Linked DNA regions of Coturnix japonica. Each later gene encodes a partner of the first gene's protein in a complex. Links are inferred from orthologs where the notes say so. Each region holds a gene or a part of one and is shown in the gene's direction. Other genes may lie near its edges.

Region 1 (4,137 bases):
ACCCGAGGAGCATCTGCAAGGCCACTGCTGACAGAAGCCACACAGAACAGACTGTGATGAGTCAGAGTGGTGTTCAACAGGATGCAGAAATGGGCAAAGTGAGGTCTAGAGTTCTACAACTGTACCAGCGTTAAGGGTAGCAGGAAGGTAAAGGCAGCGCTGGCACAGGCTGTGCAGGGCAGCGGTCACAGCAGTGAGCTGGCTGGAGTTGAAGAAGCATCCGGACAATGATCTCAGCTATATGGTCTGATTTATGGGTGGTGCTGTATGGAGCCAGGTGAGCCTTATGAGTCCCTTCCAACTCAGGATGTTCTATGATTACAATTCTATGAGAATGGGGTTTGGAACAACCATAGGAAAGGGTTTACTGATACTTTGAGGGAGGTGAACATCTAACAGACTTGGATCCTTAATAACAGGCTAATTACATCTGAGGGGTCTCTGTGGAACAGTCACTCAGGCTGTGGGGTCTGGTTCAGTGAGAGAGAACTCACCTGTGGGAAACTGATCATCTTGACGGGCACCATGGACTCCAGCAACCTGCATTACGGCACAGCGGGGAACGACATCAGGACAGTCATTAAGAAGCAACAGATCCCGTGCACCCGCTGCCCTGCCCACCTGGTGCGCACTTGGACGGGCTCCACGTCGAAGTATGGCCGCAGGATGTCGATGTTGGCGTAGAGGCTGAACGCTTTGGACGCCTGTCGCTTCCCCACCTGCCACATCTGCGGACAGAACGGTACGTGCAGCGGCGGGGCCGGGGCCGGCGGGGCTGTTGGCGGCTCGTGAGCCCACTCACCTGGTCGGCCACCTGCCGGCCCAGCTGCCCCTGCAGCCCCTTCATGCCCAGGAACTCGCCGTCCTCTTCCCCGCCGGCCCCCGCCTCGCCCTCCGCCTCCTCGTCCTCCTCCTCCTTCATGCGCTGGTGCATCTCCCCCATGTCCTCGAAGCTGGAGCCCGACGTGTCGTCCATGTTCTCCATGTCGATGACGGCCGAGCCGCCGCCCTGCTCCGATGCACGGATCGTCAGCGCCCGCTCGGGCCCCTCTGTCCCCCCCCCCGCGGGCCGGCCCCACCTGCACGTTGTCCTCAAAGCCGCCCCACTCGGCGGTGCCGCTCCTGCCGCCCGCCGCGGCCATAGCGCCGGTAACGGGGGACGGCAACGCGGATGTGACGGTCCGGCCGCTCCGTGTCTCGCGAGAGCCGTCAGTTCCGCATGGCCGCCTTACGTGCGGCGGGGCGGGGCGGCGGCGCGTCCTTCCGTCGGCGATGGCGGCCCGGCGCGGCACGGACGAGATGCGGGAGCGCGTGGTGCTGGGCGAGTTCGGCGTCCGCAACGTGCGTGGGGCGGCGGGACGCGGGGCGGCTCCCGCATCACCCCCCGCTGCCTCACGGGCTGCGCCCCCCGCAGGTCCACACCACTGACTTCCCAGGCAACTACCCCGGGTACGACGACGCGTGGGACCAGCGGCGCTTCGAGGAGGTGAGTGGGAGCTGATGGAGATGATGGAGCTGATGGAGCTGCTGCTGCGGGGCCCCTTGTTCGGCTCCGTCGTGACGCGGCGCGGTTCCCGAGCAGGGGTTCCGCGTGGACGTGGTGCGGGAGGAGGACGGCGTGCTCGAGTTCGACATGGTGGGCATCGACGCGGCCATCGCCAACGCGTTCCGCCGCATCCTGCTCGCTGAGGTACCGCGGGGCTGGGAGACATGACGAGTGGATGGTCCCCGTGCGGTGCCCTGCTTGGCGGCTTATCGCCTCGCTCTGTCGTCCCCCCGAGGTGCCGACCATGGCTGTGGAAAAGGTGTTTGTGTACAACAACACGTCCATCGTGCAGGACGAGATCCTGGCGCACCGACTGGGCCTTATCCCCATCCGGGCCGACCCGCGGCTCTTTGAGTACAGGAATCAAGGTGAGGGGCTCGGGTCGAACAGCGGTGGGGAGGGTGGAGCCCATAACCAGGAGCTGGGGTCACACCGTAGGATCATGAAGGCCATCAGGTCCAACGATCCCACAACATACAGGGACTCCTACATCTGACCAGGTGCTCAGAGTCCTGCCCAGCCTGGCCTTGTAAGTCTGCAAGGACAGGGCATCAGCCGCATCTCTGGGCAGCCTGTTCCAGTGCCTCACCACCCTCATTTTCACCACTCTCACTCAGTAATAGACTTTTTCTTTATCTCTAAAGTAAATCTACCCTCTTTAAGCCTCAAACCGTTTCCCCTTCTCCTATCACAGCAGACCCTGCTGTAGAGTCTGTCCCTTTCTTTCTTGCATGCTCTTCCTAGGTGCAGAAAGGCCGCTTCCAGGTCTCCCTGCAGCTTTCTCTTCTCTAGGCTGAGCAGCCCCAGCTCTCAACCCATCCTCGTAGGAGAGATGTTCCATCACTGGGTCATTCATGTGTCCCTCCCCTGGATACACTTCAACAAAGCAGAATTCACTTCCATAAAGATACTGTTTTGCCATTTCCAGGAGATGAAGAGGGGACGGAAATTGATACTCTGCAGTTCCAGCTGAAAATAAAATGCAGCCGGAATCCTCAGGCAGCCAAGGAATCGTCTGACCCAAACGAGCTGTATTTCAATCACAAAGGTGAGAGCTCCTTGTGCCTGCCCTAAAAGTAGGTGCAGCTTTCTGCTTTTTCTCTTGTTCATTTTCTTCTTTCTCTCTCTTGGTGTTTTGCCTTGTGAGCAGAGACAGCTCATTTCCTCACAGTATACATAGCTTGCTTGTGCCATCTCCTATTCAGGTCAGCAACCTGTTTTCTGAGGCAGCAGCTGGCTGATGCTCGTGGTTTCTTTTGGCAGTGTACAGTAAGCACATGACATGGGTTCCCTTGGGGAATCAGACAGACCTCTTTCCGGATGCTGACTTCCGACCTGTCCACGACGACATCCTTATAGCACTGTTGAGACCTGGGCAGGAAATAGATGTGCTCATGCACTGCGTCAAGGGTGTAGGTGAGTGCTGGGTCTGAGCTGGGGAGTGGGTGTGCTGGTGCTTGGACTCGAGCACAGCTGTGTGATGGGAAACACTGGAGAACTAGCTTGACCCCAAGGCCTGTCCTCATCCTTAATTCTGAACTCTTTGTGCAGGTAAAGATCATGCCAAGTTTTCTCCTGTGGCCACAGCTAGTTATCGACTGCTTCCTGACATCACTCTCCTGCAGCCTATCGAGGATGAGGCAGCCGAGACGTTACAGAAGTGCTTTTCCCCTGGAGTCATTGAGATCCAGAACGTCAAGGGTACTTTCTTTCCAGCTGTAAAGTGCCTCGTTCCTAACAAGTCTTAGCAGTGACTGAATAGAGACAGTAGAGATTGTAGTCAAACCTTGTTGGGAAAATAACACATTGCGATGTTGTCTTGCTGATCAACAACAGTTGGTGCTGTTTTGAGCCTGGTTGTAGTGGCTGAGTGGCTGTCACACACAAATGTTTTTAGCAGTGAACTGAGATCTCCCTGAAATGCTTATGTGTTGCATGCCTGTCTGTAGAGCCCTGTGCTACTGTTAGGTGTCTGGGTAGCGAGCTTGCTCTTTGTAACAGCTGAGCACGGGGAGGACTTGTGTCCTGCCCAGGAGCACATACAGGCTTTGTGTTTGGCTTAGAACTGTTCGAGGAAATGAATTCTGCCAAGCTGGAGTTTCATGTTAGGGATGTGCTAATTATATGTGGCTTTGCTGCCTCTGCTGCTTGAGGGGTAAGTACTTTTTGTGACCCCAAGGTGCTCATCTGCTGCCGGTGCCCACCTTGTTTTGTCTTCTCCTTTTAGGAAAGAAGGTGGCAAGAGTAGCCAACGCACGGTTGGACACGTTCAGCAGGGAAGTCTTCCGACACGAGGGTCTGAAAAACCTGGTGCGCCTGGCCAGGGTGCGAAATCATTACATCTGTAAGTAGCCTGTTTTGTGCAGAGCAGAGTGCCCAGCCCGATTCTGCTTTGTACAAACAAGCAGGGGCTGGCCAGTGTGCATACCTTGGTCTCAGTCTTTCCCTTCTACTTGGCATCGTTATTCTTCCTATGTTTGTATTCCTCTGGGGAGCTACTGAGATAGTGGTTTGGTGCAGCTTTGGGGTAGGATGTGTTTGTGCTTCTTGCTGGCTTATTTCTTTCAGCTGCAAAGGTCTGGCTTGCTGGA
Region 2 (4,221 bases), on another chromosome or scaffold:
CCACTTCCACAGCGGGTGGGCGCCGTCCCCATTGACCTCAATTTTACTGAACATATCGAACTTCACCCCGTAACCCTCCGCAAAGGCTTTGATCTGTGCATCATCCCCAGGCTCCTGGGGGGGGGGAAAAACAGGTATCACACGTGTAAACCCCACACAACCCCATATCTTTGCATTGAGGTGCCCACCTGCTTCCCAAACTGGTTACATGGGAAGGCCAATATGCGCAGCCCTTTCTCAGCGTATCGTGCGTGCAGGTCGACAAGCTGAGTGTAATTCACTGCAGTCTTTCCTCATTTGGAAGCCACGTTGGTGATGATGCAGACGAAACCCCTGGAGGGGTAAAATAGGGGGTAAAAGGAACCTCTGTGGGGGTAAATGGGGTAAAATAGGGGGTAAAAGGAACCTCTGTGGGGGTAAATGGGGTAAAATAGGGGGTAAAAGAAACCTCTGTGGGGGTAAATGGGGTAGAATAGGGGGTAAAAGGAACCTCTGTGGGGGTAAATGGGGTAAAAGGAATCTCTGTGGGGGTAATATGGGGAAAATAGGGGGTAAAGGGGGTGAAATAGGGGGTAAAAGGAACCTCTGTGGGGGTAAAAGGGGTAATATGGGGTAAAATATGGGGTAATATGGGGTAAAATAGGGGGTAAAAGGGGTGAAATAGGGGGTAAAAATGGGGTAAAATGGGGTAAAATAGGGGGTAAAAGGAACCTCTGCGGGGGTAAAATGGGGGGGGGGGTATATAATACAGCCCATTGCTGTGTTGCTGTATGGTACATATAATGTCTCTATAATGTCTATATAATGTCTATATAATATATATATCTAATAGACCTGTATTGCTCCAAGGCCACGTCTCGGCCGTCGATATCCGTGGCGTGGAAGTCATAGATGGAGGTGGCCGATCGCCATTCATCCGCCTGCGCGCACTGCGGGGCCCAGCGGTCACAAAGCGGCTCCGAACCCCCCCAACCCCCCCAGTACCGACCCGGTTCGGTTCGGTTCGGTTCTGTTCTGTCCCCCCCCACTCACCATTGTCCGCCCCGCTCCTCTCGCCGCCGCCGCCCCGCACAGCAGCGCCCGCCCGCAACGCCACCCCCACCCCATCCCGCCACCGCTCTCCCCCCCTTTGACCAATCAGCGATTAGGACGCGCGAAGGCACCGCCCACTTCTTGCAGTTGCGCAATGCGAGCCGCTCCCTTGGGTGATAGACAGGCGAAACCACCAATCAAATCAGCGAGGCTGCTGCAGTGTCAACAAGGGGGTGGTGTCCTTCCGCCATTCCACCCCGCCTACATCTCCCAGCGTTCCCCGCGGTCAAGGACCCCTCGCAGGGCAGCCCCGCCTGCTCGTTGTGGACAGGCATTGAGGCGGGCAGCCTCGTGGGGTCCTTCAGGAGGCAACATGGACGACGAGGAGGAGACGTACCGGCTGTGGAAGATCCGCAAGACCATCATGCAGGTGCGGGCCGGCCCGGTTCGGTTCGGTTCGATTCGGTCCGGTTTCAGGTCTCATATGTTGTATTTCCCTTTAGCTGTGCCATGACCGCGGTTACCTGGTGACTCAGGACGAGTTGGATCAGACGTTGGAGGAGTTTAAAGCTCAGTTCGGGGATAAACCCAGCGAAGGCCGCCCGCGCCGAACGGACCTGACCGTGTTGGTGGCACATAACGATGATCCCACGGACCAGATGTTCGTGTTCTTCCCCGGTGAGAAACGGGGCCGGGTCGGAACCGGGTCAGAAACGGGCTGGGACCGGGTTGGGACTGGGTTAGAACTGGGTTAGGACCAGGTTAGGACCGGGTTGGGACTGGGCTGGGTCTGGGTTAGAACCGGGCTGGGACCGGGTTTGGACCAGGTTGGGACCAGCTTAGAACCGGGCTGGAACCAGGTTAGAACTGGGTTGGGACTGGGCTGGGACCGGCTTAGAACCAGGTTGGAACCGGGTTAGGATCAGGTTAGAATTGGGTTAGAACCGGGCTGGGACCGGGTCAGAACGAGGTTGGGACCGGGTTAGGACTGGGTTAGAACTGGGCTGGGACCGCGTTAGGACCAGGTAGGGACCGGGTTAGAACCGGGCTGGGACCGGGTTAGAACTGGGTTAGAACCAGGTTAGGACCGGGCTGGGACCGGGTTAGAACCGGGTTGGGACTGGGTTAGAACCGGGCTGGGACCAGGTTTGGACCAGGTTGGGACCAGCTTAGAACCGGGCTGGGACCGGGTTAGGACCGGGCTGGAACCGGGTTAGAACTGGGTTGGGACTGGGCTGGGACTGGCTTAGAACCGAGCTGGGACCGGGTTAGTACTGGGCTGGGACCAGGTTAGAACTGGGCTGGGGTCAGGTTGGGGTCTGGTGGTGCTCCTGGTTCAATCTCACCCTGCTCTTTTCCTCCCTCAGAGGAACCCAAAGTCGGCATTAAAACCATCAAGATGTATTGCCAGCGCATGCAGGAGGAGAACATCACGCGGGCTCTGATCGTGGTGCAGCAGGGAATGACCCCATCGGCAAAGCAGGTACAGTGTGATGTGGCCCCGGGGCTCTTTGAGCTGTGCTGGGTCCATAAAGGCAGAGTTCAGGCTCTGTGCCTTAATACTGGGCTTATACATTGAGTGCACTGAGCTGGTGCTGGTTGGGCACAGAGATCTGTTTCCTCTCTGCCCATATGACCATATCAATGTGAGCACAGACACCGTGTTGCCCTCCTGCTGCTGTTCATCTTGGGGCATCTCTGAGCTCACACTGTCTCATATCAGTGCTACAACCTGATGTGCTTCTCCCTTCCCAGTCCTTGGTCGATATGGCTCCCAAATACATCCTGGAGCAGTTCTTACAGCAGGAGCTCCTGATCAACATCACAGAACACGAGGTGAGTGATTCAGGCCGGCCCTCCCAGCCCTGCCCTGTGCTGGGTTTCCCCACCAGAGCTTTGTTCCTCCCCCCAAGTCTTGCAGCTATGCAGAGCTGGTTGCTTTCTCAGACTCTTATGATCTCTCTTTCTCTCTCCTGTTTACAGCTGGTCCCAGAGCACGTTGTCATGACAAAAGAAGAAGTAACCGAGCTGCTGGCCAGATAGTATCCTTTGTTTGGTCCTTCCCTTGCAGTCAGGGTGTGATGAGTGCTTGTCTTGGGCAAGAAATGGATTCCTTTGAGTGTGTGATGTTCTGTTAGCTGTGCCCTGCCTCAGGACAAGCAGACACAGAGCTCCTCCTTGACTCCATGCAGTAAGCTGAGGGAGAACCAACTCCCCAGGATCCAGGCTGGGGATCCTGTGGCCCGATACTTCGGGATAAAGCGAGGCCAGGTAAGAGCAAATAGCCTGATAACAAACAGCAGGGCCCTGCAGGCAGGATGGGGAGCTGCAGCACAGTGTGTCAGAGCTTGGAGATGGGAAAGGTTTCCTCTTTGTTAGTGTTTTTGTTTCTGAACGTTATGGGTTATGTAGAGATGTGTGCAAGGCAGCAGATAGCCCTGGGGCCAGGCTTGGCTTCCTGCTGAACCAGCTGCTGTAACACCAGCCATCCCCCATTGCTCCTTTTGCTGCCCTTCCAGGTGGTGAAGATCATAAGACCGAGTGAGACCGCAGGCCGTTACATCACCTACAGGCTGGTGCAGTGATCAGAGCTCTCAGGTAATGTGTGAGATCCCCATCTACGGGCAGTGCTTTAAACTTATGCTGTGGTTTTCTAGGGGTGACTTGAAGTGAGTTGGCTCTGGGAAAGGATTCCCTCCTGATTTGCGAAGGGAACTGTATGGGATGGATCAGAGCAAAGCTATACTAGGGTTTGGTGCCTCAGTATCACAGCTGAAGGCACATCTCAATGTTCAGAGCAGCAGCAGGGCTTTGCTTTGAGAGCAGCTGCTGAGGGAGACATGAGCTCATTCACGTCCTGACTTATTTCTTCCAGTTGTGAAAGAATTCTGTGACATCTGATCTTCCCACCCACCACCAGCTCTCAGCTGTCTGCATTCGATGGCTGAGGAAGTTCTCTGTCCCTGCTGCCCCCCTGCAGTTGTTTTCCTTGTCCCAGTTCCTCATTTCCCAGCACGGATTTTGCTGCAAATCCTTCTGCTTCAATCAGGAACGCCATGAAAACACCTCGAAGCAACTGAATGACACAGGGAAGAAATGAGCAGGAAGAGGCTTTTGCTGCCCTGTTCTCTCAGATCTTATTTTTAATAAAGGTTTGTATTCTTTGCTGTTCTTCACTGTCCCTGCATT

Evidence for each region.
Region 2: POLR1C (region 1) and POLR2E share a complex: the UniProt entries of both Homo sapiens proteins name them as parts of the pol I pre-initiation complex. The link is inferred for Coturnix japonica from reciprocal best matches to the Homo sapiens genes POLR1C and POLR2E.

Annotation. Positions count from the first base shown.
Region 1 is NC_029518.1:27,798,676-27,802,812, reverse strand, and holds the start of POLR1C (DNA-directed RNA polymerases I and III subunit RPAC1), read left to right. Parts: upstream 1-1,229; 5' UTR 1,230-1,272; coding exon 1,273-1,341; intron 1,342-1,414; coding exon 1,415-1,486; intron 1,487-1,582; coding exon 1,583-1,690; intron 1,691-1,781; coding exon 1,782-1,914; intron 1,915-2,474; coding exon 2,475-2,594; intron 2,595-2,809; coding exon 2,810-2,962; intron 2,963-3,097; coding exon 3,098-3,247; intron 3,248-3,773; coding exon 3,774-3,890; intron 3,891-4,114; coding exon of another isoform or gene 4,115-4,137. Other genes in the region: protein YIPF3, read right to left, coding at 495-540, 622-728, 803-1,009, 1,080-1,142. UniProt on the Homo sapiens protein: DNA-dependent RNA polymerase catalyzes the transcription of DNA into RNA using the four ribonucleoside triphosphates as substrates.
Region 2 is NC_029543.1:2,008,935-2,013,155, reverse strand, and holds POLR2E (DNA-directed RNA polymerases I, II, and III subunit RPABC1), read left to right. Parts: upstream 1-1,326; 5' UTR 1,327-1,405; coding exon 1,406-1,462; intron 1,463-1,535; coding exon 1,536-1,710; intron 1,711-2,399; coding exon 2,400-2,515; intron 2,516-2,787; coding exon 2,788-2,868; intron 2,869-3,015; coding exon 3,016-3,074; intron 3,075-3,224; coding exon 3,225-3,303; exon of another isoform or gene 3,304-3,551; coding exon 3,552-3,617; 3' UTR 3,618-3,630; intron 3,631-3,907; 3' UTR 3,908-4,204; downstream 4,205-4,221. UniProt on the Homo sapiens protein: DNA-dependent RNA polymerase catalyzes the transcription of DNA into RNA using the four ribonucleoside triphosphates as substrates.